Macaca fascicularis: one gene and its partners. The main gene of each other region encodes a partner of the protein of the gene in region 7 in a complex. Links are inferred from orthologs where the notes say so. Each region holds a gene or a part of one and is shown on either strand. Other genes may lie near its edges.

Region 1 (4,309 bases), on a different chromosome or scaffold from region 7:
ACAACCAACTGAACATCACTCTGGGATGCTCTGGTACAAGGATCCCATTCTTATGCTGATATAATAAGTAAAACCACATAATGGTATAAGGAGCATCAGAGAAATGAAATAAGAAATGTTCAGCTTTAGTGAGGAAACGAAATATGGAAAAGGATTTGGATGGTTAAAAAATAAGAGTGTCTGGCTGGATGTGGTGGCTCATGCCTGTAACCCCAGCAGTTTGGGAGGCTGAGGCAGGAGGATCACTTGAGGGTAGGAGTTTGAGACCAGCCTGGCCAACATGGTGTAACTAGTCTCTACTGAAAATACAAAAATTAGCTGGGTATGGCTGGTCATGGTGGCTCAGGCCTGTAATCCCAGCACTTTGGGAGGCCGAGTTAGGCAGATCATCTGGGTCATGAGTTTGAGACCACCCTGGCTGACATGGGGAAACCCGTTTCTACTAAAAATACAAAAAATTAGCTGGGGCTGGTGGCGAGACAGGGTCTCACTCTTCTATCACTGGGGCTAGAGTACAGTGGCATGATCACAGCTCACTGCAACCTTGAACTCCTGGGCACAAGTGATCCTCCCACCTCAGCCTCCTGAATAGCTGGGGCTATAGGTACACGCCACCATGCCCAGTTAATTGCAAAAAAAAAAAAAAGATATACTGACCCTGTAGTTTCAAGGGCATTTGGGAACTGCTCACATATAACCCCGCCTAAATAAACCATATTCATAAATCTGTGTTGCCTCATCTCTCAATACTTAGATATAACTTTACATAAAGGACCCAGGACTGGAGATGGAGAGCACATTCTCATGCTGTGTTCCAGGGCTTGGCCTGTACCATCAGTAGTAGCAGCAGCTCTCCCTTCCTCTTGTTGCCAAAAAGGGTCAAAAGCATCTACTGAGGGGGTAGGATGCAGAATCAATACATTATAATCTCCATGTCATTATTTATTTTGCTTATTTATTTATTTATTTTGGACACAGGGTCTGGTTCCGTCACCAAGGCTGGAGTGCAGTGGCGCAATCTGGGTTTACTGCAACCTCCACCTCCTGGGCCCAAGCCATCCTCTCACCTCAGCCTCCAGAGTAGCTGGAACTACAGGGGCGTGCCACCATGCCCTACTAATTTTTGTATTTTTTGTAGAGAGAGGGTTTCACTATGTCGCCCAGACTGGTCTTGACCTCCTGGGCTCAAGCGATCTGCTTGCCTTGACCTCCCAAAGTGCTGGGATTACAGACGTGAGCCACTGCATCTAGCCTCCATGTCACTCTAATGTCTTACACTATTCACCACCTTCTTCTTTTTTTTTGAGACAGAGTCTTGCTGTGTTACCCAGGCTGGAGTGCAGTGGCATAATCTTGGCTCACTGCAACTTCTCCCTCCTGAGTTCAAGCGAGCACGTCTGGCTAATTTTTGTATTTTTAGTAGAGATGGGGTTTCATCACATTGGCCAGGCTGGTCTCAAACTCCTGACCTCCAGTGATCCACCTGCCTCAGCCTCCCAAAGTGCTCGGATTACAGGCGTGAGCCACTACACCCAGCTGTTCACCACCTTCTTACTTTGTTCATAGCCTTAGTCCAAAGCCCAAGCCCCAACTCACTTGCTACTCTCCCTCAACACCTGGTGCAGGATCCATTAGTATCTGTGGCTTACAGTCAAAGAAGCCTCTCTTTCTACTGCTGCAAAGGCAAGAGGAAAACTAATGGAGGTATGTTCTTCTGCCCTAAATTAAAACACGAACTACATTTGCTCACCTAAAAAGCAATTTATACACAGACACACATACACACACATATAACTGGGGTTAGGATTGGTACTATCTGATTCAAAAGCTAAACAGAATTTGATAGGCTAGTCTGAGAATATTGTCACTACAGGGAAACATTCAAAGCAATAAATGTACTTGGAAAGGATATGTCCAAAAGTTTTCATCATCTATAACAAAATCATTGTCAAATACTACTTACATTCTTTAGAAAAAAGCCTCTTTCTTTTACCCTGTCCACCTTCTGCACCTCCTCCAATTTCTTCATTTTCTTCCTCAAACTAGAAAACGTATATATAGAAATGTCAAATAATTGCCTTGCATTTGATATTTTAATAATAACAATGTTTTTTCCTTTTCAACAGATAGGCCAGAAAGCCTAAAGGAAGCAGAAAAAAAAAAAAAAAAAAAAAAAAAAAACACAAAACCTTAGCACGTAAGCAGCCTAGGTATCGAGTCCAATTTCCAACTCATCCAAAAATGGCTTCTACAATGTTCCTAACAAATAATCCTACTGCTTCTACGTGTAAGAGTTACAATGACCATAGGTTTTATTTTTAAACAACTAAGGTGGCCTATTGCTACTGTTAAACAGTTGATACTGAATCAAAGTCTACCTTTGTAGACTTTCAATTAAGCAAAACTAATATTTACTAAGCATTTGCATATACGGTGCTAAAAACGTTCCTTAAGTAAGCCCGTAACCCTATTTTGTAACAAGAAAACTGATTGTCAAAGTTAAATAACTTGCTTAGAGAGAATGGAGATTTTGAAATCCAGGCTGTCTGACTTTCAATGCATTCTTTTCCCATTACTTCACAGTAAGTACAGTTTTGTTAACAATTGAACTGTTGGTTCATAGTGAGCGCTAATAGATGTTAGTTTTGACGTCTGATGATTCTGTAAGTGTTTCAGTGTCTGGCAAATAAAGATCAAAATCAAGGGGAAAGGGGTCACAAAACCTACTCTTTCTTCATGTCCTTCCCCACTTTCTAAAATGATCAATCCTTAGGGAGTGAAGTCCCCGAATTCTGTCGGCTGAATTGACTAAGGCAAGCAGATCCGATCCTGAACTCTGCCTCCGCTACTGAGCCCGAAGGAGTGAAGAAAAGAGAGGTTCTGGACACAGACGGTCACTCACGGTGGGGTCTTCTTCCTCATCTGCCATCCCACTAGCCCGCCAACCCACAGCGCCCCGCCGGCTGGTTCTCAGCGGGTTACGCTACTTCCGTCGCCTCACTTCCGGTGACGGGCGGGGCTGGAGCTGGGCCTAGCTGACTGAGGCCTGCGGAAGGACGGTGGTGCTTTCCGGCCTAGCGGCGGAAATGCGACAGTCTTTAGCGGAGGAGGCCGGAGCTCCTCCCTGTAACACTGAAGGAATTGAAAACTAACAAAGAAAAGGAAATCACGGGCTCCGTGGGATGTATCTCGTTGTCACCCTAAATTTGCTACTGCGCATTGAATCACGCCTTCCTGTTTGGGGACTGCGAAGCTATGGATCGTAGGAGGGCTAGCCAGCGGTCCTTTATCTGACATAAATGCTTTTAAATCATTTTAAAGAGTTGTGGTTCCACTGTTTCTAAGCACTATGTTAATTACTGGGGATACTGTGCTTCACCACAAATTTCCAAGAGATGGTGTCCCAAAACTAAGCATTTAAAATTTTGTGAAGGTTTGTTTTTGTGTGTGTGTGTTTTTTTTTTTTTTTTTTTTTTTTGAGACCAAGTCTCACTCTGTCGCCCAGGCTGGAGTGTGCGGTGGCGAAATCCCGGCCCACTGCAACGTCCGCCTATCGGGTTCAAGCGATTCTTCTGCCTCAGCCTCCCGAGTAGCTGGGATTACAGGCGTGCACCACCATGCCCGGCCTCATTTTTGGTTTTTTTTTTTTTTTTTTGAGACGCAGCCTCACTGTCCCCCAGGCTGGAGTGAAGTGGCACAATCCGGGTTCACTGCAGCTTAGACCTGCTGGGCTCAAGCCATCCTCCCACCTCAGCCTCCAAGTAGCTGGGATTACAGGCACACACCACCTATGCTCGGCTAATTTTTGTATTTTTAGTAGATATGGGGTTTCGCCACATCACCCAGGCTGGTCTGGAACTCTTGATCTCAAGCGATCTGCCCCCCTCGGCCTCCCAAAGTGCTGGGATTACAAGTGTGAGCCACCGTGTCCATTGGGGAAGGCTTTTGGTCGGAACAATGGTTGGGAAAACCACAGGCATTGGAAGGCCAGAGCTAGGGATATAAAATATGTGTCCTACAGTGTAACAGATGATGCTACATAAAGAAAATCCCGCAATACACACGATTTCTGAATGTCCTGCTGAACATTCGGTGAGTGAAAAGTAGTTATGTGAGGCTTGAACCTATCTTTGTTAATAAACACAAAGCGGCTGGGCGCGGTGGCTCAAGCCTGTAATCCCAGCACTTTGGGAGGCCGAGACGGGTGGATCACGAGGTCAGGAGATCGAGACCATCCTGGATAACACGGTGAAACCCCGTCTCTACTAAGAAATACAAAAAACTAGCCGGGCGAGGTGGCGGGCGCCTG
Region 2 (4,445 bases), on a different chromosome or scaffold from region 7:
AGCTAGACTCCATCTCAAAAAAAAAAAAAAAAAAAAAAAAGGACTTTATTTTCAAACCCAAGCTTCTCATAAACCAACCTGTCAGAAACAAATTGCATACAACTCTACCTCTTTTATCAGTAACTGATTTTTCAAAAATAGCTCATGTTGTGAGGCATTAGATTATCTTTAAAGCATGAGAAATTTGGTACCGACTTACTTTATGAGCAATTTTGATGAAATGACATTGATAAATGACCTCAGTTCTCAGATTATTAATTATAAGAACTCAACTGAAGAAAAATAGAAATAAAATCTTAATCCAAACCAATGGAATGATTCATTGGACTGCACTTGATAACCACTGCTTTGTTTCCAACATTTTGTGCAGGTAGATTTAGTAAGCTTTTTAAAAAAGGCACGAAGGCCTTCATCTACAAAAATTAGGGTAGTTTAAGAAAGCTCTGTATCTAATGTTTCCCAGCTTTCAAGTAGATCAGATAGAACTGGAATCTTAATATGATGCAAACATGACAATTCCCAATTTCTTTACCCCTGCTGTGTTGCTTTTTTTCATAAACCAAACTGCCTCTACCTGCAGAACTGGATCAAATTTCTTAGTCACTAAACTCCACCACAAAACCACCTCAAAAGGGACCTGACTCCCACCAACCATGAAAGAACAAGATACACTACAAAGTGAAAAACAGATGCTTTTATTTATTGTATTGTAAACAACTTAATAAAATTTGCATCTCTACATATGGGAAACTGCTTTGAGTAACTGGGAAAACAGCTATTGCATGGGAAAACATATGCAAACTAGCATCACTGTCTCTAGACTAGGTTCTTCTTATTGATCTCATGTCATCATAAGGCAGCAACAGCAGCTTCTAGAAAATGGAGAAACAGCAAAGTCCTGCAGTGGAGCTATAATTAAGGTTGAACCATACATTCCACTAATCCTGCAACTTTCCTACTATCATTTTTCTGCCTATACAATCCTGCTTCTTATAGGATGAACACCTAGCAAAACAATGTAAATTTGCTGAAAAACAAAACTATAAACAAATGAAAGAACTTAACAGAACACACAGCATTAGAGGGACTAGGAAGTGCAAGGTGTTAATATCCAGTACAAGTAATAAAGCCAAGAATTTTCTAATGCTGATCAGTCTGAACACTGAAATTAAGAATCAGTTCTTTTTACTTCTCTAGGAGTGATTCTAGCTCTTCTTGCAAAGAGCTGAGTTGCTCCTTTTCTCGGTCTTCCTTTTGTTTGAGCTCATCCAGTACAGCCTGAAATCTGTTCTTGAGAGCCAGATTTTCCACTTTCATGATGAGATCCTCTTGTCGTTTTGCCCTGTCCTGGGTCTCTTGGAGCTTGCCTTTCATGTTGTCAATCTGCTTCTGAATTCCCATAACCAGCTGATTGGTTCCCTCATTTTCCTGGTGCTGTTCATCTGATTCATTTAGCTTGTCCTGTAGTTGTCTCTCCAGATCTTCCTCAGTGTCAATGATGTTTATATCTTCTTCATCTTGATGCTGGGTCTCATCTTCATCCTCACTGCTGCTGCTGAGGTCATTGAATATCTCCCGAAGCTCATCATGTTCTAATGAGTCATGGCCCTGCCTGTGACCAGACATTCCTGGAGAAGAGATATCCAGGCCTTGATTTTCTGCCTCCTTTGTTTCATCTTCAGCAATTATTTCCCACCGAGTACTAACAGCTTCAGCATCTGTACTCAGCAATCGTTTCACTTCTTTTTCCACATCTGGAGATTCAATATATTTCTTCTTTGCTGTCTTCCGGAACCTTCTCTTCCTGACATTCTTCAGAGGCAGAGTAATTCCGTGGTTCCAGATAAACTTTTTCTCTTTGTCCTTATCCTTTTTCTTGCTTGCTTTAGGATCAGTGCTAGCAACTGGCTCCTCCACAGGTGGATAGAGATCACCATCAACTGTGGATACAAGCATCTGACAGATATCAGCTGTCTTGTAAAAGGTTTTCTTATCAATGGTTTTCAAGCTTTCCATAACACAGGGCAGGTCTACCAATTTTGAGGCCAATGGAACACGGTCCACTCTGACGATTCCATGACGCCCATCAGGATGTAACTCAATTGTCAGTCTGTCCTTGAGGTTGACATGACCAGACTGTACTGCTCTTCTCACAGTAGAGGCATATTCTGGAGGCAGACGTAAGATAAACTGGCTCTCCAGTTCGTGAGGAGCATCATCTTTGCTTTTACTCATTTTTATTTCTTTGTGACTCACTTCTCCAATAAATGATGGTTACCGTAAAAAGTTCCAGCTACTGCAATAATTTAAAACACCAGTTCGCTATGAATTGAAATATTTTAATTACAAGAAGTTCTCTGTAGATCAGCAGCTTAGCGTCTATTTTGCCTTCGTTTTTATTTAAGCTCCAAGTCTTTTCTCTAAATATGCTGTGACCAAATACCAGTCGTTAACACAAAGGCTTATTCACAGACTTAAGTTCATTAAATCAGATGCAATGCCAAGTCCCAACCTCTAGGTGCCGCTGCCCGACAACGCGGAGACAGCTACCTAGCTAGGAAGCAGGAAAGCAAATGGCGGCTCCCGCGGAACGGTTTTCGGCCCAGAAAGGCCAGCAGAGATACTCTCAATTTACAAACTCTCCCGGAACAGACACTCAAAACATCAGGGCTCAGTGAGCTCTCTTCGCCTCGGGTACTTACAATCCAGTGACGATTATAAGTTCAGTTTCACCGGGCCGGAGCGAAGGGAAGAGGAGGCCGCAAGGAGCAAAGCGGGAGGCAGCCAAGCGTCTCCTTGTCGTTTCCTTAATTCTTCCTGCCGCTTGGCAGAGTGATCCACTATCGATTACTGATGAAAGCCCAGGATGGGCAACGCGAAATCTTGCCGAGAGGCGCAGCTCGGAGAACCAGACCCGGCACCTCGCCGGCCCTCCGTTCGACCGCTTGCCCAGAGAAAACGGAAGTGCTACGTCACGACGCGGGGCGGGAGGTGGATGTGAGTGACAGCCCCTCCGGCCGGAAGGGCGGAGCCCCGGCGCGCGCAGGCGCAATAGCGCAATTACGCTGCCCAGCGTGAAACTCGTCTTTTCGCGAGAACTTGCTTTTCTAGGATGAAAATGATAGTGTTTTCGAAGAGCTGTTGGTTTCAAACTATTTAGCGCTTGGAAGTTACAAGAAAGACACGGATTCGTCCCCCGCTAAGCCAGCACTTTTAAGGGATCGCTGTGGGGCCGGATGGCTTCTAGACTTCCGGGTGATTCCGGGAGATGGGGGACGCCTGGCAGTAAGCGTCTTTGCTTCTGGAAACATCTCGGATGCTTCCTAGGGTCTAGCCAATCTGGTGCCAATACAAGAATGTGTAGCTACTATACAATGGATTTTAAAGAACCCAAATCAGTGGAGTGAGGAGGACATGGAGCTCACTATATAATTCTAAACCTCTCTTTGTTTGTTTGTTTGTTTGTTTTGGAAATGGAGTCTAGGCTGTCACCCAGGCTTGAGTGTAGTGGCACAATATTGGCTCACTGCAATCTGCACCTCCAGGGTTCAAGCGATTCTCCTGCCTCAGCCTCTTGAGTAGCTGGGATTACAGGCACCTTCCACTACCCCAGCTAAGTTTGGTATTTTTAGTAGAGAAGGGGTTTCACCATGTTGGCCAGGCTGGTCTCCAACTCCTGACCTGAGGTGATTTGCCTGTCTTGGCCTCCCAAAGTACTGGGATTATAGGTGTGAGCCACCGTGCCTGGCCCAAAGTCTATATTTTGTTTAATATAATTCCCTGTAGGGGAATTGTGCCTCTGGGTTTCCTTCTGTTCTGTAATACTCCTGAGGAAACAAGGGTGATTCCTTTTTATATGCTTGATTTAGATGTAAATGTAAGCAGAGAAGGAAGTGTTCTTCTGCAAGCACAGGTTCATTTTGGACAGAATTGTCTGATAGACTGAGCATCTGGTTAAAGTAGACATAATTGAAGTATTGTTTCCTGCTTCTCATGTACAAGTAATTTTAAATACTTTGACTTTTTTTTTAACTCCACCTCTACTATTTTGCTGTTTTGTGCTTGTCTTTTCTTTGGAGGGTCAGGTATTCATCAACACATATTTTTAGTATTTTGACATAACTGGGTAACAGTTGGTACTTATTTCTATTTATTTCCATTTATTTTTAAAATATCTGGTAGAGCATCAAGGCCATTAACATTTAATTTCTATCCTCTAAAATATTACCAATTGCCCCTAAATTTAAGAGAATTCTCTTAAGATGTAATTAACATTTCCAAAATTCACTTTATTCCTGTATGATTGAAAGCTCCATGATAGTGATCTTTTTCTATCCTGGTCATTGTGTCCCAGTGCCTAGTACCAGAACATGGGAGATACACAAAAAATATTTGCTAATTGAATGAAAAAATTGATCTATCTAGAAAGATCATAGTCTTAAATG
Region 3 (4,378 bases), on a different chromosome or scaffold from region 7:
TGTTCCTACACTCTTCTGATTTATTTTGTTCTTTATCTGTTGTTTGTTTGTTTGTTTGTTTTTTCCCCAGACTCACTCTGTTGCCCAGGCTGGATCATAGCTCACTGCAGCCTCAAGTGATCCTCCCGTGTCAGCCTGCCAGGTAGCTAGGTCTGTAGGTGTGACCTACTCCACTAGGCCCTTTATCTGGTCTCTTGAGTCAGGTGCTTATTTGCAGTATCTTCTGGTTGTTAATAAAAATATGTAAGGCTATACATTTTTCTTTAAATAAAGCTTTGGCCAAATCCCATATCATTTGATAAAGTGTTCTGTTAATTTCTTTAGTCTAAAGGCTATTTAAAAAATAGTTTAAAATTTCCAGGGGGTTCTTTTTTGGTGGGGGAGAAGCTTTTTGTAGTTAATTTCAAGTTTAATGCATTGCATTAACAAGATGTGGCCTGTTATGATATCTACTTTTAAGAATTCATATTTTTCTTCATGGTCTAGTACATGATTGATTTTTAAAAGTGTTTCAGAAACAACATAATTTTATCCTCTGTTCGGTGCAAATTTATATATGTAGTGAGCTCTCTAGTGTACCAAGCTAATTATTCAAATCCTTGCTGTCCTTGACACCTGTTTTAAAGTTTCCTTCTTGGCCAGGCATGGTGGCTCCCACCTGTAATCTTAGCACTTTGGGAGGCTGAGGCGGAAGGATTACTTCAGCCCAGTGAGTTGGAGACCAGACTGGGCAATATAATGAGACCTTGTCTCTACCAAAACAATATTTAAAAAACCTTTAGCTGGCCAGGTGCGGTGGCTCATGCCTATAATCCCAGAACTTTGGGAGGCTGAGGCAGATGGATCATGACGTCAGGAGTTCAAGACCAGCCTGCGCAACTTGGTGAAACCTTGGCTCTACTAAAAATACAAAAATTAGCTGGGCACAGTGGCACGTGCCTGTAATCCCAGTTACTGGGGAGGCTGAGGCAGGAGAATCACTTGAGCCTGGGAGGCGGAGGTTGCAGTAGGCCGAGATTGCGCCATTGCACTCCAGCCTGGGCAACAGAGCGAGACTCCGTCTCAAAAACGAAACAAAACAAAACAAAACAATACAAAAACTTCAGCTGAGCGTGGTGCAGTATGCTTGCAATCCCAGTTACTGCGGAGGCTGAGATAAGAGGGTTGCTTGAGCCCAGGAGGCAGAGACTGTGCCACTGCACTCCAGGCTGGGTGACAGAGTGAGACCTTGTCTCAACAAACCAACAAAAACTGCCTTAAAGGAGCTTGCAGTGAGCCGAGATCGCGCCACTGCACATTCCAGCCTGGGTGACAGAGCGAGTACTCAGTCTCAAAAACAAAAACAAAAACAAAAAAAGAAACCTGCCTTAAAATACTTTTGTCAAATGTTCTCTTTTTCTTTTTTTCGAGACGGAGTTTCACTCTGGCACCCAAGCTGGTGTGCAGTGGTGCGATCTCGGCTCACTGCAACCTCTGCCTCCCAGGTTCAAGCGATTCTTGTGCCTCAGCCTCCTAAGTAGCCGGGATTACAGGCGCCTGCCACCATGCCCAGCTAATTTTTGTATTTTTAGTAGAGACAGGGTTTCCCCATATTGGGGATCTCCTGACCTCAGGCGATCCACCCACCTCCGCCTCCCAAAGATTACAGGCGTGAGCCACTGCACCCGGCCAAATTTTCTCTTTTTCTAAAAGTTCTTACTTTATATATTTTTATGCAACTTTATACACTGAAAGGCTATTTCCATCTAATCTACTGTTCACCCCACGATCTCTTAAATCCCTTCTAGCTCTAAGACCCCAAGATTCTACTTCCAGAAATGTAATCCAGAGAACGATGAGTTTCTGGTCCTGACCAATGTTCAGCTAGGCAACACTGCTGAACTCTCTGTAGCATAAAAACACCAGACCCAACTGATGGGTCCCTGATCACCGGGTGCTGTGGCTCACACCTGTAATCCCAGCACTTTGGGAGGCCGAGGCGGACGGATCACGAGGTCAGGGGTTCGAGACCAGCCTGGCCAACATGGTAAAACCCCGTCTCTAATAAAAATACAAAAATTAGCCGGGCATGGTGGTGTGAGCCTGTAATCCCAGCTACTTGGGAGGCTGAAGCAAGAGAATCGCGTGAACCCGGGAGGCGGAGGTTGCAGTGAGCCAGAGATCGCGCCATTGTACTACAGCCCGGGCGACACTTTTATAAAAGTCTATCTCCCTTTGACAGGTTTGATCGACCCTCCTTCCTATAAAGAAACAAAGTTGTCTTAACATCTAAGACGAACCATATTGCGGTGAAAGGGGTGCTACGAATCCTGGGTTTTAGCTCTTGCACTGCGTCTCAGTGTGACACTGGATCCCAGTTTCCTCACCACTAAAGCCAATAGGCTATTAAAACTCCCTTAGAAGTAGCTTTAATCCCTTGACAAGACTAAAAATATTAACGCAGTGCTTGAGCCTCTGGAACGGAACCAGCACTGGAGTTCTGTTTGGTCGTCCGCTCTCTTCCCCCTCAAGATTAACGATCTGGAGGGAGTTCTGGTGAGTTCGAGTTCTCGTAACTTGGGAGGGACTAACCAGAAGCCCGGCAAGCACCCAGTAACACGATCTCTGGGTATTCCTTCAGCCTCATCGATACATCTCTTCCTACCTCGCCTTCCTCCGCTGCAGCTTCTTTCAAGTCCGCATCTGCGTCTCCGTCAGTTTCCTCTGGGATTCCATCCGTGTCGGTAGCCCCCGGGTCCCCGGACGCAGCGGCCGTCTCATCCGACTCCCCTGTCTCTCCACCTTTGTCGGAGGGCGACTCGCGGGCATCGTCCATCACGGATAGGATTGGAGGGGAGAGGAGATCGCGGCGATGTCTGAGGCAGAAGCTCGGAACCCCGAGCTGCACAGGACAGTATCTTACTTCCTGTCGTCGCGCAGCGATGACATCACCCCTACCGCTCTCCTGAGGGGTCATTTTGAGGCGCGCGTAGAGGACTAGAGGACTCATTTTAACTTTGGTTTGGCGACAGTGGGAAGCGGGAAAATTGGACGTAAAGAGCTCAGACTATGGATCCTCCTAGCTAGGAAACCAGCACTTGTGAAGGAGCGCAGTTTTGTTTACTAAATAACTTTTTCCTTTTCGCCTGTCTAAAAATTCAATACCAGTTAATCCCTTCGTTAACCCCTCAGAGTAAAGTTGGGGGATCGGGAGAAAACTCAGTTCCGTTGTATGGCGGTGTCGTGGAATGAGGCTACCCGGGATTGGTAAACTTTCAGGCAAGACTCAACCTTGTGTATTTCAACTGGCCCGAAACCGCGGGTCTGTGTGTACGTGGAATTGCTAGCATTTCCGCTCCATTCAGCAAGCACCTTAACAACAAAAAGTCATCTAGCTTGAGCAGAATTTATCCAATTCATTTATTCATCCACAACTATTGACTGCGTACTTCGATTTAGAAACAGTGCTAGTACCAGGGAACAAAACACACATAGTTTCTATCCAATTAAATGATTTTTTTTCAGTTCGCAAGTATTCAAGATTGAGGTTTGTTTCTACAAGTCTGACACTTTTCTATCATTTTGGTTAATCTTACCAAAACTAAGAGGAAAGCCTAAAGAGAGGAAGGTGTCTCCTTCGAACGTTTCACTTTAACGAACTAGTTCATGTACTGGGAGGATGAAGTGGTGAGGATATTTCTATTTTAAAATTTTCTTCTCTTCCCTCATAGAGATACGAGGGGGAGGGCGTTTTATTCACCTGGGTATGACTAGGTCCCAGCACCTATTACATATTTAATTTATGCGTGCTTAAAGAATGTCCTTGGAAATGTAGGTGCGCGTTACCATATTTATCTCTTTGTTTCTGCGCTGCCTGGACGAATTGCCGTATTTCCTGTCCCAGGAGCTCCCAAAACGTTTAGGGAAGGAGCGCACTTCGGGAGGCGCGTACAGGTGGGCCTGTTTGTCCCTTTCCACCTATATAATGGGGACCCACAAGGCGCTGTCCCCATAACCCGTGAGGCCTGTCTCGGCACAGCAAAATCCACCTGCGCTGGTCCGCGGAGCCCCGCCCAGCTAGGTGAGCTAGGGGGCGGGGCGCGGGGGCGCGGTGACGCGTGACGCCGGATCCCGGAAGTGACGCGCTCGTGGAGAAAAGGCAGGGAGGGGGGGTGGTGTCCCCAGCCGGTTTGGGGGGTGCGTTGCCCGGAGACGGAAAGTTTGGGAGCCCGAGCAGGCTCGGCTGCAGCCCCGGGGAGGGGGGTCCAGCGGGTGGCGGCCCTGGGGATGGGGAAGGAGCAGGAGCTGCTGGAGGCGGCCCGCACCGGGCACCTCCCGGCGGTGGAGAAGCTGCTGTCCGGGAAGCGGCTCTCCTCTGGCTTTGGGGGCGGCGGCGGCG
Region 4 (3,706 bases), on a different chromosome or scaffold from region 7:
AGATTAAACCCCACATTTTAAGTTCTCATAGCCTTAGGTACCTCTCCTTCACAACGTACATTTTAAGTTGCAGTCTTACATTTGTGTGGTTACACATGTGAACATATATGCACGCGCACACACACTATGTGTGTATATATATATGTAAAAATGTACATACTTCTCAAAGAATGACTTTGCTTCATTCTCATGTTGATTGTAGACTAGCTCCAAGTACATGTGCACAAACAAAGGATAAAAGAGTTGGGATAACTCTGCCCGATGGCAGTCCAGGGAACATTCAATGAAGTGTTTCAGTCCACTATAGTATTCTTCATACATTGTGGGATCTCCTTGTTGGCTGTAGGCTGACAACACAGCACTGACATCTGGCTGGTCTTCCACAGCAACACTTCCAACTGTTTAAAAAACAAAAAACAACTTTTAAGAAAATGACCTATTATGACCATGTGACTATGGCTGTTTTGTTAAGGCCCAGAGGTGAGTTGTTGCTCAGATTGTTGTCTCTTTCTTCCCAACGTCTCTTCCTCAACACAATCACATAATCTTTTTTTTTTTTTTTTTCTGAGAGGGAGTCTCGCTCTGTCACCAGGATGGAGTGCAGTATGGAGATCTCAGCTCACTGCAACCTCCGCCTCGCAGGTGAGTCTCTTGCCTCAGCCTCCCAAGTAGCTGGAACTACAGGCATGCGCCATGCCCAGCTAATTTTTGCATTTTTAGTAGAGACAGGGTTTCACCATGTTTGCCAGGATGGTCTCGATCTCTTGACCTTGTGATCCTCCCACCTCGGCCTCCCAAAGTGCTGGAATTACAGGCATGAGGCACCGCACCTGGCCCACACAGTCTTTTTTTTTTTCTTTCTTTTTGAGATGGAGTTTCAACTCTTGTCGTCCAGGCTGTAATGCAATGGCACGATCTTGGCTCACTGCAACCTCCGCATCTCGGGTTCAAGCAATTCTCCTGCCTCAGCCTCCTGAGTAATCCTACCCAATACAACTCCCTACTGCTCTCAGGGTAAACAAAGATCTTCAACATGGCCCAAGAACCAGCCTATTCTTTTTTTTCAATGCCTTCACTTTAACAATAGAACCTGCCTACTGTTCCAGTCCCTAACTAATTTCCAGGGCATGGTGGTGCATGCCTGGGATTACGGGCATGCACCACTATGCCCCCTAATTTTTGTATTTTTAGTAGAGGGGGGGTTTCACCATGTTGGCCAGGCTGGTCTTGAACTCCTGACCAGAGGTGATCCACTCGCCTCCCAAAGTGCTGGGATTACAAGTATGAGCCGCCGGGCACAGTGGCTCCTGCCTGTAATCCCAGCATTTTGGGAGGCCGAGGCAGGCAGATCACGAGGTCAGGAGATCGAGGCCATCCCGGCTAACACGGTGAAACCCCATCTCTACTAAAAATACAAAAAATTAGCCGGGCATGGTAGTGGGTGCCTGTAGTCCCAGCTACTCGGGAGGCTGAGGCAGGCGAGTGGCGTGAACCCGGGAGGCGGAGGTTGCAGTGAGCCAAGATCACGCCACTGCACGCCAGCCTGGGCAACAGAGCGAGACTCCGAGACTCCATCTCAAAAAAAAAAAAAAACCAAGTATGAGCCACCGCGCCCAGCCATAATCTTTTAATAGAATTTTTTTCACTTGTTTCAGTCACCCAAACCGAAACCTGTCAGCACATCCATATCTTAAGATAACAATAACAGGCCATCACGGTGGCCCAGCATTTTGTGAGACTGAGGCAGGCGGATCACAAGCTCAGAAGTTCAAGACCAGCCTGGCCAACATGGTGAAACCCTATCTCTACTAAAAATACAAAAATTAGCTGGGTGTGATGGCGCGTGCCTGTAATCCCAGCTACTCGGGAGGCTAAGGCACGAGAATCACTTGAACCCAGGAGGCAGAGGTTGCAGTGAGCCAAGATCGCGCCACTGCACTCCAGCCTGGTGACAGAGCAAGACTCCGTCTCAAAAACAAAAAAAACAATAACAAGAAGAGTCAATATTCCTCCTGGAACTACCTTATGTTAAAGACAAATTGTATAAAAGATGGTATGTGCAAATCAAACAACTACATTAACTTTCTCTCAACGCTCTGTTCAAATGGCACCCATTACCACCAAGCCATGCACTGCAGTAACATTCCCAGTTCTCTGAGCCACCCAAGCACTGTGTAACATTCCTGTAACATATCCTATCCTGTGTTCCCTTCACATTATATACATCTCTTACCCCTTATAAAATGTAACCACTTAAGGGTGGGAAGGACCATGCCCTATTTATATCTTCAAAAGATAGTTATATGCGGCCGGGCACGGTGGCTCAAGCCTGTAATCCCAGCACTTTGGGAGGCCGAGACGGGCGGATCACGAGGTCAGGAGATCGAGACCATCCTGGCTGACACAGTGAAACCCCGTCTCTACTAAAAAATACAAAAAAACTAGCCGGGCGAGGTGGCGGGCGCCTGTAGTCCCAGCTACTTGGGAGGCTGAGGCAGGAGAATGGCGTGAACCCGGGAGGCGGAGCTTGCAGTGAGCCAAGATCACGCCACTGCACTCCAGCCTGGGCGGCAGAGCGAGACTCTGTCTCAAAAAAAAAAAAAAAAAAAAAAGATAGTTATATGCTTAAAACAATTTCCATAACCAGCATTTCAAAACAGAAAACATAACTATTTATTTGTAACACAGCACCACCTAACAATACATCTGTCAAATCAGAATTTGGTTGTTGGAAATATTTGTAAGTTGCCATTATAGTACACTTCGCTCTTTACTGCACAAATGTGATAATTTCTTCGGTTACTCTGATGGCCTCTTTTCCTCCTTACTGATTTCTCAGTTATGATCTATAATTAGGTCAAGTTTCTGAAGAGATAGGAGATTACAGCAAAATAACCAACAATATAATTCATCTTATAGTTCATTCACAAAATTCAACATTAAAAAAAGATTCCTCTCAAACACTTTTTTTTTTTTTTTTTTGTAAAGACGGAATTTTGCTCTGTTGCCCAGGCCGGAGCGCAATGGCGCTATCTTGGCTCACTGCAACTTCTGCCTCCTGGGTTAAAGTGGTTCGCCTGCCTCAGCCTCCCGAGCAGCTGGGACAACAGCACATGCCACCACGCCCAGCTAATTTTTTTGTATTTTTAGTAGAGACGGGGTTTCACCATGTTGGCCAGGCTGGTCTTGAACTCCTGACCTCAAGTGATCCACCTGCCTTGGCCTCCCAAAGTGCTGGGACTACAGGCGTGAGCCACCGCGCCCGGCCTTCAATCCACATCTGCACACATTTCTATTTATGGATTACAATGTGATATGAATACAATGCTATGTATTCATACTTCATTTCTGGCAATGCTGCAAAGATTAGGCCTCATACAGATTAATTTGGCTAAAAGCTCTGCACTGGATAATTCAATAAACATTTATTGTCAGCTCAGGATCACCTCTGAGACCTTATATTGTATATGAGTTTTACTGCATGGATTTGTGGCAACAGTTGCTGTGAGAAAGCAGTGGCTCAGGTGTCAGGAACACATACAGAGGCATAAACTTATCCATACCAAACATTTTACATATACATATTACAAGTGCCTCACGTGGCCGGGCGCGCTGGCTCACGCCTGTAATCCCAACACTTTGGGAGGCCAAGGCAGGTGGATCACGAGGTCAGGAGATCAAGACCATCCAGGCTAACATAGTGAAA
Region 5 (3,706 bases), on a different chromosome or scaffold from region 7:
CTATTTGTTTCCTTCTGTGTCCATTTGGATTGGCATAGGTTGTCCTTATGGTCAGCGACATTGCAGCAGGCGTCTTCGCAGAGTCTCTTTTCACTTTTTTCATTATTTGCATAGCTACATTCCTAGACGTGGCCTTGCGGGACTGTGGGAGATGCTGACTTCGGTGGCCATGTGACTGATGTGGCTGGGCCGCCCCTCAGAGCATGGCCCGGGGTTCCACTCCCATCCACAGGCCAAGAGGTGGTGCGTTTTCTTGAAGTTTAGAGGAGAAATATATGTATCTCTTATACATACGCATATTTTATTAACCAAAGGCTGTGACAAAAATCTGCCTTTTAAGATTTTTCACTTATGTCTTTTTACTTTAATCCAGGAAACTATGGAAAACGTGAAGAAATGTAAAAATTTCCTATCTACGTTAATAAAACTGGCTTCATCTGGCAAGCAGTCTACAGAGACAGCAGCTAATGTGAAAGAGCTCGTGCAGAATTTACTGGTGAGAAACCTTGACTTGACATTTCATTCCCTTTTCCCTAAGGCCTGTTGCATAGGAGAGACACCTATTGCTGCTGTGACTTGTGCCTGGGAGGCCTGTGCCAGCAAAGGGAGAGCTCCTCTGGAAGGCTGCAGGCAGAGGGGGGGGTGCACACCTGTCAGAGGTGTGTGTGGCCTAGCTGAGGAGACTCCTTCCTGGGGCTGGGTGTTCTGGGGCTGGTGCCTGGTGGTCTCCTGGGCTTTGCCATTTTCTGGTGCCTGTGTCCCTTGTCTGTGGCTCTCTTCTCCTCTGGCTGCCCCCACCATGCTGCACTCTGGCCAGGGTCCCTGGCAGCTCCCTTCTGGTCCTCTCCCCACTCCTGTGTGACCTCTTGTAAAATTCCCAGGTGTCCGCAGTCCCTGCTGGAACAGGCATTCTGCACCCTGAGCCAGCAGAAGCCCCCTCCCCGTGGAGCAGACCAGCTGAGGCACATTCGTGCTCCAGTGGCAGAGCCGTCCCCCCACCCCTGCCCCCACCCCTTCCGAAACCTCTGTCGCAGTGAACAGCACTCTGTCTCCTGGCCAGAACGTGGGAGGATTCCTGGCGGCCTCCCCTCTCCTTAACCCACAGTCCCAAGCTCTACATCTCTACTCATGGCCGAACTCTTGGCTCTCCACCTTGGCTCTCCCCATGGCTGTCTCATGGCTCAGGGGTATGCTGGCCTCAGTGGGATGGCCTGGGGATCTGGAGTGGCCAGTCTTTCCGTGCCTTCTCCTTGCCCGCCTGACCATGTCTTCCTGAGTCTCTCAGGGTTCAGTCCAGGCACCGCCTTCCCACCCTTGTCGCCTGTCTTCCCGACCTTTATGCCACGCTGGCCTCTGTTTCTGAAACAGGATCTGGCCCTCTTGCTCTGGGCTCCCTTTTATCTGACTGGACTCTGGGCACCGTGACTGCTTGCAGGGGTGAGCACAGCTGTTGTCTGCTCCTGAAGGTGCTGATGCCCTGACTGTCTGGATCCTGTCTGTGTGGCCCCTGGCACGCTGTGACCTCCTGTAGCACTGTGCTTGCAGGGCTGGCTTTGATAATGGAGTTACTTTTAGGCTGATCTGCCTCCTAGCAAAATGCCTGACACCGAATAGGTGCCTGGTAAACACTGAGTAAAGACTGGCATTGAGTAAGAGGCTTAGAAAAAGACGAGAAGTAGACAGGTGACCCTCCCAGGAGGAGACGTGGTCCGCAGCTGGCTGCACTGCGGTGTCCAGGGTGAGCGCCTGTCACACGTGTATCTGTGGAAGGTGTAGCACGCAGACTTTCCCATCTCCTCTGTCCAGTGAAACTCGGGGCGGAATCAGCCGTAAAATACAAGACCAGAGTGATGCGGGATTCAGAAGTGTGTGTGGAATCTCATTCACCAGAATTTCAACATGGATTTTATTTTTAAGGATGGAAAAATCGAAGCAGAAGATTTCACAAGCAGGTTATACCGAGAACTTAATTCTTCACCTCAACCTTACCTTGTGCCTTTCCTGAAGGTAATTTCGAAGGCCCGGGTGCTTGACGAGCAGCAGGGCCAGGGAGGGGTGGGGCGCAGATGCTCCAAGTGCACAGGGGTGAGGATGCTCCAGGCACGGAGGGTGCACAGCGCCTGTGCTCCCTGCGGGGGTGGGGCCGGGGACTCAGTGCCTGGGGACAGAATGTTGGGTGTTTTCTGTAAAGCAGGAGCTCCCCTGACACTGTGGCGTTGTGGTTCTGTTGTGCGCAAGGCGGTGAGAAGGGCGCGCGCTTCCTGAAACCGAGGGGAACAGGGAATTGGGGTGGTGTTTGCAAAACTGGATAGGACCAAGGGTGTTAACAGTGTCAGGCTGTCTGTTGGATAATCATTGGTATGAGCACATTTTAAAATTTAATACATATATTTGTACATATTTATGAGGTGCATGTAATGTTTTGTTACATTCATAGAATCAGGGTATGTGGGGTCTATCCCTTTGAATACTTATTTCCATGTGTTGGGAACATTCAGAATCTTCTCTTCCCGTGATGTTAACATATTTTAAAAACTATTTTAAAAATATGGCTCTTTTTGTTTGTTTTCTTAAACACATTTTGGACATTTGCTATCAGGAATAATCCCGCCTAGTGGGAGGGCGGGATGGGGTCCTGGCCCCTGACATCCAGACGTGCTGCTGTGAGGGCCAACATCCGTCTTAACTCAAAAATTTTCTGTAAAAGTTGATATTTCTGAATTTTTAAGCAAGGAAAACTGACGCATGAGCAACCCCCTGACCCCTCGTGTCTGTCTTTCCACCCAGAGGAGCTTACCCGCCTTGAGACAGCTGACTCCCGACTCCGCGGCCTTCATCCAGCAGAGCCAGCAGCAGCCGCCACCGCCCGCCTCGCAGGCCACCACTGCGCTCACGGCTGTGGTGCTGAGTAGCTCAGTCCAGCGCACGGCCGGGAAGACGGCGGCCACCGTGACCAGTGCCCTCCAGCCCCCTGTGCTCAGCCTCACGCAGCCCACACAGGTCGGCGTCGGCAAGCAGGGGCAACCCACACCGCTGGTATGGAAGGGGCACCTTACTGGTCCACACAGCCCACCGTGCCTCTGCTCCCTCCAGCTTCTTAGATAAATTGGCCATGGTTCAGAAACCTTTTCCAAGCATGCAGGAAGGCTCCTGCTAGAGGAAGCTTAGGCATTACCTTAGTTAAAATAGAAATCAGGGTTGAGGCCCTGGGATTTTGTGTTTTGTCTCAGTAAAATGAAATAGTTGAATTGGCTTTGAACCACTGGCACATCCCCGCCTTGTCTTGTCTAGGGATGTTACTGGTGTAAACGAATGCAGTGTGTTTTTAGAGGATCTTGTAGATAGATGTTCTCTTGGGTTAGGAGCAGCGGTCCAAGCGTAAGACACGGGCACCCGCGTGGGACAGGTGGGCAGGAGACTGGAGACGGTAGCAGCTCACAGCGCAGGGTGGATTTAGGTGGGTCCCGGGAGGCAAAGCTGCGGCTGCTCGTAGCGGTTCACGTATGTGCAATGTGGATCTGGCTTTCTTGGTTTTGTAGTCACGACGTTTGCTCTGGAGCTAGAGAAAGGACGTCTTCGCCAGAAGAGTTACATTTCGAGCACATTCCCTTTCACGGGCAGAGGGATTCACCAAACATAGAAGGGCAGTTTAAAAAAAAATGTCAGCGGGGTTTTCTTCCTCTAAAGACAGTTTAAAAAACACAAT
Region 6 (3,706 bases), on a different chromosome or scaffold from region 7:
GCCGGGTGCGGTGGCTCACGCCTGTAATCCCAGCACTTTGGGAGACTGAGGTGGGCGGATCACTCGCGGTCAGGAGATCAAGACCAGCCTGTCCAACATGGTAAAACCCTGCCTCTACTAAAAATGTAAAAGTTAGCCGGGTGTGGTGGCGGGCACCTGTAATCCCAGCTACTTGGGAGGCTGAGGCAGAATAGCTTGAACCTGGGAGACAGAGGTTGCAGTAGTCAGCCGAGATTGTGCCACTGCACTCCAGTCTGGGCAGCAAAGCGAGACTCCATCTCAAAAAAAAAAAGAAAAGAAAAAAATCCAGTTAATTCTCTCCAGGTCCTACAAGCCCAAACTGGTTACTCGCCACTCAGCTTATGGCACCCAGTTTTACTTAAAGTAGAGGTCATCAAACTTTGTGTAAAGGGCCATATAATAAATACTTTAGGTTCTGCATGTGGTACAGTCTCTACCACAACTAAACTATGCTAATATAGCATGAAAACAGCCACAGATAATAAGTAAATATGGGTGCATTCTGATAAGACTTTATTTACAAAAACAGGAGGCAGGCTGCGTTTGGCCCATAGTCCACAATGTACCAACCCTTAATCTAAGGAGAACAAGAACTTTCATTTTTCCAAGCAGCATCATTTGCCCTTCTGGGGCTAGAGCACAAGAAACACAGCAATATCTCAAAGGTGGTTTACCTTTTGGTGACTGAATTTCACATGCTAATCCCACTAGCCCAAATAAAGATTATATTGTAGGTAGCCCCAAACATTGGAAGAGAGCCTGCAACAAGGAAGTAGCTACTAATCCAATCCCTACCATAGTCAATTACTTCATTCCACAAGCATTAATTGATAAATTGCTAGGTACCTCAGTTCAAAGTCACTTACGAGCAGTGATGACCATCCTCTGAGACCGTTTTGCATAGGCAGGGAGAGTGTCCACATTGAAACCTAAGAGACAGGAAAACAAAAATCACTGCCCAGACCACTGGATATTGAATACAGAAAGAATAGTAGTATTATGGACAAATGGCTTAAACTCTCAACTCAATGACCTTGCAGCCACGCAAAAAGCAGCTCTGGCAGAATTCCCCAACAGGGAATTATGAGGCCTCTTAGATGTGTTCAGAGGAATCTCTCTTGATAACTCTCTCAAGCTCAAAGCAAATCAAGAGAACCATGAGGGAAACGAAGAACACTTAGCAGACATGCCTGACTCCTAGGAACTTCTCTCTCCAGTTGCACGGAAGAACTGGAAACTGAAGGTATACTCACCCATCTCAACAAGTGTGACCACGATATCTGACAGTGTGGGCTGGGTCCTGGCTGTGTGCTCACAGTAAGACTTGGCACTTCTCCCAATTTCTGAAATGTCTAAGAGGGGATTAAAGGCATAAAACTTATTCTCGGTTCCTCAGAAAGCTAAACATAGAATTACCAGATAAGCCAACAATTCCACTGCTAGGTATATACCCAAATGAATTGAAAGCAGGGATTCAAACAGCTACTAGTACACCAATGTTCACAGCAGCATGATTCACTATAGCCAAAAGGTAGAAACAACCCAATGTCCATTAACAGGTGAATGAACAAACAAAATGTGCTATATACACACAATGGAATATTATCCAGCCTTTAAAAGAAGGAAATTCTGGTAATGTTATAGCATAGATGAACTTTGAAAACATTATGCTAGGCCAGGTGTGGTGGCTCAGGCCTGTAATCCCAGCACTTTGGGAGGCCGAGGCGGGTGGATTACCTGAGGTCAGGAGTTTGAGACCAATCTGACCAACATGGCGAAACCCCATCTCTACTAAAAATACAAAAATTAGCCACGGGTGGTGGTAGGTGCCTGTAATCCTAGCCACTCGGGAGGCTGAGACATGAGAAATAGCTTGAACCCGGGAGGGGGAGGTGGCAGTGAGCAGAGATTGCGCCACTGCACTCCAGCCTGGGCGACAGAGCGAGAACTCCTTAAAAAAAAAAAGAAAAAAAGAAAAAGAAAAAAATAGAAAACATTATGCTAGGGCCAGGTGTGGTGGCTTATGCCTGTAATCCCAGCACTTGGGAGGCTGAGGCAGGTGGATCACTTGAGGTCAGGAGTTCGAGACCAGCCTGGCCAACATGGTAAAACCCCATCTCTACCAAAAATATAAAAAATTAGCCAGGTGAGGTGGCACACGCCTATAATCCCAGCTACTCAGGAGGCTGAGAATCGCTTGAACCTGGGAGGTAGAAGTGGTTGCAGAGAGCCGAGATTGCACCACTGCACTCCAGCCTGGGACACAGAGCGAGACTGCATCTCAAAAAAAAGAAAAGAAAAGAAAAGAAAAGAAAACATTATGTTAAGTGAAATAAGGCAGACACAAAAAGACAAATAAAGATTCTACTTACATGAGGTATCCAGAGATGGAAAGTAGATTAGAAGTTACCAGGGAATGGAGGGGGAGGGAGAATGAGGAATTACTGTTTATGTTTACAGAGTTTCTGTTGAGAATGATGAAAAAGTTCTGGAAATACTGTGAATGGTTGCACAACATTGTGAATATACTTAATACCACTGAATTGTACACTTAAAAATGGTTAAAATGATAAATTTGGTTATGTGTATCTCACCACCACACACACAAAACGGTCTTATTCTCTGATGGGCAATTTTTGTTTCTTCTGCCTGAAGCTGAACCTCTATTTAAGAGTCACACTAAAGTCCTTTGGGGAAAAGGGGGGGAAGGTTTCTAAGATGGAGTTTTGAAGCTCGGTTCTGTGAATGAGCTTCCAAGGCGGACGGGAGGTTTCACGAATACTCTGAAGCTGTGCTGAATTTTACACACAAAAAAAGCATTTTTTGGGGAATGGGTCCACAGATTTTATCAAATGTATAAAGGGGCCTCAAAAGGTAAAGAACTCCTGCTCTAGGGATAAAATGTTGGCTCAGATTTTAAGTGGCTCAGAAAATAAAAGCAAGTAGTGCTTGACAGGGAAGGGTGTCTAACAGGGGACCTACCACCAATTCCCCTGCTACCCTGAGCAAGTCACTTAACACCAGCCTCTATACATGACTTTTAAACTCTAAATTCCAAGACTGTTCCAAGAACTGCATTCTTATCTCTTGGGAACTATTAATTCATTCCTTTAGGACAAAGTTCAAAAAGTAGTGGAACCTGTGGTAGGCCCCAAAATCTGTTCTAAAGTCCACACAGGTCAAAACTATTTTCATGATAAAATTAAGTCATTATTTGACTTTTTCACTCTCATTCTCTCAGGTAGTTTTCCTGAGTCTATGTGACTTTTGATGACATCATGGGTCTGATGAATAACAGAATATGTAATCGTACATTCTTATTTTCGAAATTTCCTTTTTCTTCTTCTTTTTTTTTTTTTTTGAGATGGAGTTTCGCTCTTGTTGCCCAGGCTGGAGTACAATGGTGTGATCTTGGCTCAATGCAACCTCCACCTCCTGGGTTCAAGCAATTCTCCCGCCTCAGCCTCCAGAGTAGCTGGAATTACAGGTGCCCGCCACCACACCCAGCTAATTTTTTGTATTTTTAGTAGAGACAGGGTTTCACTATGTTGGCCAGGCTGGTCTCAAAACTCTTGACCTCAGGCGATACACCCACCTCAACCTCCCAAAGTGCTGGGATTACAGGCGTGAGCCACCACGCCCAGTCCCAAAATGTTTTTTCTAACGTGGCAAATACACATATACA
Region 7 (3,494 bases):
GGGGAGTGGTTGGTTATGGTGAAAATAACTGTAGTGGGCCTGGGCTCCTCCCATATTTGTTCGGATATACAGTTATCCTGTCCCAGGGGCCAGTGGCTTCTCTCTACATGACAGACTCAAATTGTGAGGCTCAGTTTTTTCTTGTATTCACAGGTGGCATTGGAAGGCCTTCGGCCTACCATCCCACCAGGTATTTCCCCTCATGTGTGTAAGCTCATGAAGATCTGCATGAACGAAGACCCTGCAAAGCGACCCAAATTTGACATGATTGTGCCTATCCTGGAGAAGATGCAGGACAAGTAGGACCGGAAGGCCCTTGCCTGAACTCCAGAGGTGTCAGGACATGGTTGGGGGAATGTACTTCCCCAAAGCAGCAGACCTCTGGTTGCCTCCCCTGCCTCCAGTCATGGTACTACCCCAGCCATGGGGTCCATCCCCTTCCCCCATCCCTACCACTGTGGCCCCAAAAGGGGCGGGCTCAGAGCTTTGTCACTTGCCACATGGTGTCTCCCAACATGGGAGGGATCAGCCCCGCCTGTCACAATAAAGTTTATTATGAAAACAGGCTGGTGTGGGGACATGGGGACAGACAAGTACATTTAGGTTGGGTGGCTCAGGTGAAGTAGTGCGGCTTCTTCACATTGATGCCATACTCGCTGAGGGCAGGGGTCAAGTCCTCCATGGTTAAAGTATACTTGCGGTCCTGAGGGAAGAGGGAAGAGCACCAACTGAGCACAGGAATCCCACACTTCAATCCCAGATGGGTGACCCTGAGTAAGTTTTACACCTCCCCTAGGATTCAGTTTCCCCAAAGGGGTGGCAGGATAAGCTTCCACTGTTGTGGAAGGTAATTAGTGATTCAATGAGCCTCCCCTCACACCTTGCTCTTGCTCCGGGAGCTGCCGGAGGCTGTGCCCTTCATTTTGCAGTGCTGTAGGGCATCATTGGCAATATCTGAGATGAATTTCTGGGCAGCTAGGGAGATGAGCCGAATTCTAGAGAGAAAAAACTTAGATGAGAAGGAGATGGACAACACACTGCACAAGCACCCAAAACTAACCTGCCCTGGGTTTACTCACATGCGTGGGTCTGAGGCCTCAAAGCCAGCACGGTTCAGGTAGTAACCAGTCACTGCATCTGGGATCTAAGAAATCAATTAAGAGAACTGTCAGCAGAGTGGGATGAGGGTGAGGGAAATGTCGGATAGACCTGGTTATCAGGAAGCTCACGATTTGGGTGAGCAGAGGGCAAAAACAAGAGCGACTACGGAAGCAAACATCAGAGGGTGCTGAAAAGCACGGAGATGTGGCTGAAAGTTGTGACAGCAGGCTAGGTGGCCTTGTTCGGGCGGAAGCCCACCGTAGGCGTGTAATCCTCCAGCTGCATCAAGAAGTCCACCAACGGCGTGCTGGACACCACCGGCTTCACGTCTCCGTTGGCCGCGCTCGGCAGTACGTAAATCCCGTTAGACATGGCCCCTTCTGGGGGCGCCGCGCCACCCGCCGACACCGGAGCTGGAGGAGAACCAGCAAAATGAGACACAGAGGTGGGAGGCGCAGGGCCCCAGCGAGGTCTGTCTATACCCGCTGCCCTCACCCGCCGCTGGGCCCAGTCCCAGACGCTTCCCTCGCCCTCACCCGTCAGGCCCTCACCCGCCCCACGCCGCTCAGCTGGCTCCCCGGCCCGCGCCGCCAAGGGTCCCGTGCCCCCAGCAGCTGCTCCAGCCCCAGGCCCCCCTGCTGTCCCCGCGGGGCTGGCCTTGTTCTCCGCAGCGGTGCTGGCGGGCAGCGCTGCGGGAGCCGAGACCGGGGGTGCCGGGCCCGGGGCCGAGGCGGCGGAAGCCGGCGCCGCCTCGGGGTCCGCGCCGGAGCCGCTGCAGCTCATCGGGCCGGTGGGAGAGGCGGCGAACAGAGCCGCTTCCGCTTCCGCTCGCGCCGCGCACACCCCGGGGTGACGTCACGCGCCCTCGACTCGCCCCGCCTGTCACTGTTAGTGCTCTCCAGCCCGCTCCCCGCCTCCTCTGGTAGTGGGTCTGCGGGTTAGAGGAAATAGGCTGAAGGGCGGAGACCAAGCCTTGGCGAACTGCGCTGCCGTCGCCATTCCGCCCTAGCCTCTGCGGTGCTCGGTGGCGATTCCGTCGAGACTAGAAGCAGCGTGCGTCCGGGACTCTTCCGCCGCTCTGGGACACCTCATTCTGTCTGACGCTCAAGACCTTGCTTCGAGGTTTATGGGCCCTACATCCCTCGACTGCGGATTGCCTGCCTGTCTGCATCCTTTCAAGTTCCCTTATTCAGCCTTGTAAGGATTCATAGTGGATTTGGAAAGCCCCCCGCCCTTCTCCACCAACTGCCCCGAGAGGTGGGGGCAGCAGTGGGGCGGCCCACAGTGCTGCTGTAGAAGGAGGAGGGGTTTCAGCCTAAGTCGACAACGTATGCAAAAATCACAACGAGTGAAAGGCGTGAGATTTTCAATGTAGCAGATATTTAATTCTTATTTGCCAACTCCTGAGCTAGGACCTGGGAATACAAAGTTAAATAGAACACGATTCTAGTCCTCTAGGCACCAACGGTCTTGGAAAGGAAGCCAGACAAGTAAAGTGGCTATTTCAATACTATGTGGTCGTTACAATACTAGAGGTAGACACAGGGGTCGCAGTGCAAGGGAGGAAGGGCATTAACATCTGCCACCTACTTCCAGGTGCCAAGTACTCTTATCAACATTATTCCACTTTATTCCCTGGTGATTATGAAAGGCAGGTAATATTCCCACTTAACAGACGAGGAAACAGCCTCAGGGAGATAAACTTGCTTGACCCAGTCTCTCTCCCAGTCCATATCAGAACCAAGATTCAAACAGGTTTTGTTTAGAAAATCTAGGATTTTTCAGCCATAGCAAAATGAAGTAGCCTCAGGGAATCAAAACATTCACGAGAGAAGGTGACTTCTGAGCTGAATCTTGTAAGAATTCTGGAAATTAACCAGGCAGTTTGTATCAGGGGTAGTATTAAGGGGACAGAACAGCTTGAGCAAGAGTGAGAGTTCCTTGGGGTTTGGGGAGGGAGGAGGAAAAATGATTTGTTACTTAGGAACAAATAGCAACGAAGGTTTGTGAGCTATGATTGGGGGAAGAAAATAAAAAGCCTGAACTCTATCCAGTAATCCTTGAAGGGTTTTCATCCAAGTGGCCTGATGGGATTTGCATTTTACTCTGGAAGATGATTTGGGGATTGGCCGGAAGTAAGGACGCTGTACTTTTCAAGAGAATGTAGCCCTAAACTAATGTAGTAGCAGTGGGGATATAAGTGGATAAGTTCTAGATATACTTGGGAAATATCATTGGAAGGACTTGTGGACTGATAAAGATATTTAAGAGGTACGAGGTGCAGTCATTAGGACTTGTTGATTGAGGATTTGTTGATTGAAGATGCGGTGGAAAGATGACACAGATTCTGGCTTGGTTGGAAAAAGCATAGCATCATTTACCAAGAAGAAACC

What was found.
Region 1: TAF10 (region 7) and transcription initiation factor TFIID subunit 13 share a complex: the UniProt entries of both Homo sapiens proteins name them as parts of the TFIID basal transcription factor complex. The link is inferred for Macaca fascicularis from reciprocal best matches to the Homo sapiens genes TAF10 and TAF13.
Region 2: TAF10 (region 7) and TAF7 share a complex: the UniProt entries of both Homo sapiens proteins name them as parts of the TFIID basal transcription factor complex. The link is inferred for Macaca fascicularis from reciprocal best matches to the Homo sapiens genes TAF10 and TAF7.
Region 3: TAF10 (region 7) and TAF11 share a complex: the UniProt entries of both Homo sapiens proteins name them as parts of the TFIID basal transcription factor complex. The link is inferred for Macaca fascicularis from reciprocal best matches to the Homo sapiens genes TAF10 and TAF11.
Region 4: TAF10 (region 7) and TAF5 share a complex: the UniProt entries of both Homo sapiens proteins name them as parts of the TFIID basal transcription factor complex. The link is inferred for Macaca fascicularis from reciprocal best matches to the Homo sapiens genes TAF10 and TAF5.
Region 5: TAF10 (region 7) and TAF4 share a complex: the UniProt entries of both Homo sapiens proteins name them as parts of the TFIID basal transcription factor complex. The link is inferred for Macaca fascicularis from reciprocal best matches to the Homo sapiens genes TAF10 and TAF4.
Region 6: the proteins of TAF10 (region 7) and TAF8 are in contact, whole or in part, in a crystal structure (PDB 4WV4), measured with the Homo sapiens proteins. The link is inferred for Macaca fascicularis from reciprocal best matches to the Homo sapiens genes TAF10 and TAF8. Residues at the interface, in NP_006275.1 of Homo sapiens: Pro115, Leu116, Phe119, Leu120, Leu123, Tyr126, Thr127, Thr129, Ile130, Pro131, Val134, Thr135, Tyr137, Tyr138, Leu139, Ala142, Gly143, Phe144, Glu145, Ser147, Asp148, Arg150, Ile151, Leu154, Ile155, Leu157, Ala158, Ala159, Gln160, Lys161; in NP_612639.2 of Homo sapiens: Arg33, Thr36, Leu37, Val40, Ser43, Leu44, Leu45, Ala48, Gly49, Phe50, Glu51, Ser52, Ala53, Glu54, Ala56, Ser57, Thr60, Leu61, Met64, Leu65, Gln66, Tyr68, Ile69, Ser70, Ile72, Gly73, Arg74, Ala76, Lys77, Cys80.

The regions. Positions count from the first base shown.
Region 1 is NC_088375.1:125,372,461-125,376,769, reverse strand, and holds the start of transcription initiation factor TFIID subunit 13, read right to left. Parts: upstream 2,992-4,309; 5' UTR 2,930-2,991; coding exon 2,903-2,929; exon of another isoform or gene 2,729-2,902; coding exon of another isoform or gene 2,728-2,728; intron 2,141-2,727; exon of another isoform or gene 2,043-2,140; coding exon 1,964-2,042; intron 1-1,963. UniProt on the Homo sapiens protein: The TFIID basal transcription factor complex plays a major role in the initiation of RNA polymerase II (Pol II)-dependent transcription.
Region 2 is NC_088380.1:147,784,382-147,788,826, forward strand, and holds TAF7 (transcription initiation factor TFIID subunit 7), read right to left. Parts: upstream 2,967-4,445; 5' UTR 2,236-2,966; coding exon 1,186-2,235; 3' UTR 680-1,185; downstream 1-679. UniProt on the Homo sapiens protein: The TFIID basal transcription factor complex plays a major role in the initiation of RNA polymerase II (Pol II)-dependent transcription.
Region 3 is NC_088378.1:136,805,312-136,809,689, reverse strand, and holds the start of TAF11 (transcription initiation factor TFIID subunit 11), read right to left. Parts: upstream 2,901-4,378; 5' UTR 2,816-2,900; coding exon 2,645-2,815; intron 1-2,644. Other genes in the region: ANKS1A (ankyrin repeat and SAM domain-containing protein 1A), read left to right, coding at 4,267-4,378. UniProt on the Homo sapiens protein: The TFIID basal transcription factor complex plays a major role in the initiation of RNA polymerase II (Pol II)-dependent transcription.
Region 4 is NC_088383.1:112,411,817-112,415,522, reverse strand, and holds part of TAF5 (transcription initiation factor TFIID subunit 5), read right to left. Parts: intron 399-3,706; coding exon 161-398; intron 1-160. UniProt on the Homo sapiens protein: The TFIID basal transcription factor complex plays a major role in the initiation of RNA polymerase II (Pol II)-dependent transcription.
Region 5 is NC_088384.1:118,056,928-118,060,633, reverse strand, and holds part of TAF4 (transcription initiation factor TFIID subunit 4), read left to right. Parts: intron 1-373; coding exon 374-496; intron 497-1,917; coding exon 1,918-2,007; intron 2,008-2,787; coding exon 2,788-3,036; intron 3,037-3,706. UniProt on the Homo sapiens protein: The TFIID basal transcription factor complex plays a major role in the initiation of RNA polymerase II (Pol II)-dependent transcription.
Region 6 is NC_088378.1:129,500,164-129,503,869, forward strand, and holds part of TAF8 (transcription initiation factor TFIID subunit 8), read right to left. Parts: intron 1,374-3,706; coding exon 1,275-1,373; intron 951-1,274; coding exon 888-950; intron 1-887. UniProt on the Homo sapiens protein: The TFIID basal transcription factor complex plays a major role in the initiation of RNA polymerase II (Pol II)-dependent transcription.
Region 7 is NC_088388.1:59,466,619-59,470,112, reverse strand, and holds TAF10 (transcription initiation factor TFIID subunit 10), read right to left. Parts: upstream 1,910-3,494; 5' UTR 1,885-1,909; coding exon 1,638-1,884; intron 1,515-1,637; coding exon 1,360-1,514; intron 1,145-1,359; coding exon 1,080-1,144; intron 996-1,079; coding exon 881-995; intron 704-880; coding exon 614-703; 3' UTR 534-613; downstream 1-533. Other genes in the region: scaffold protein ILK, read left to right, coding at 154-303. UniProt on the Homo sapiens protein: The TFIID basal transcription factor complex plays a major role in the initiation of RNA polymerase II (Pol II)-dependent transcription.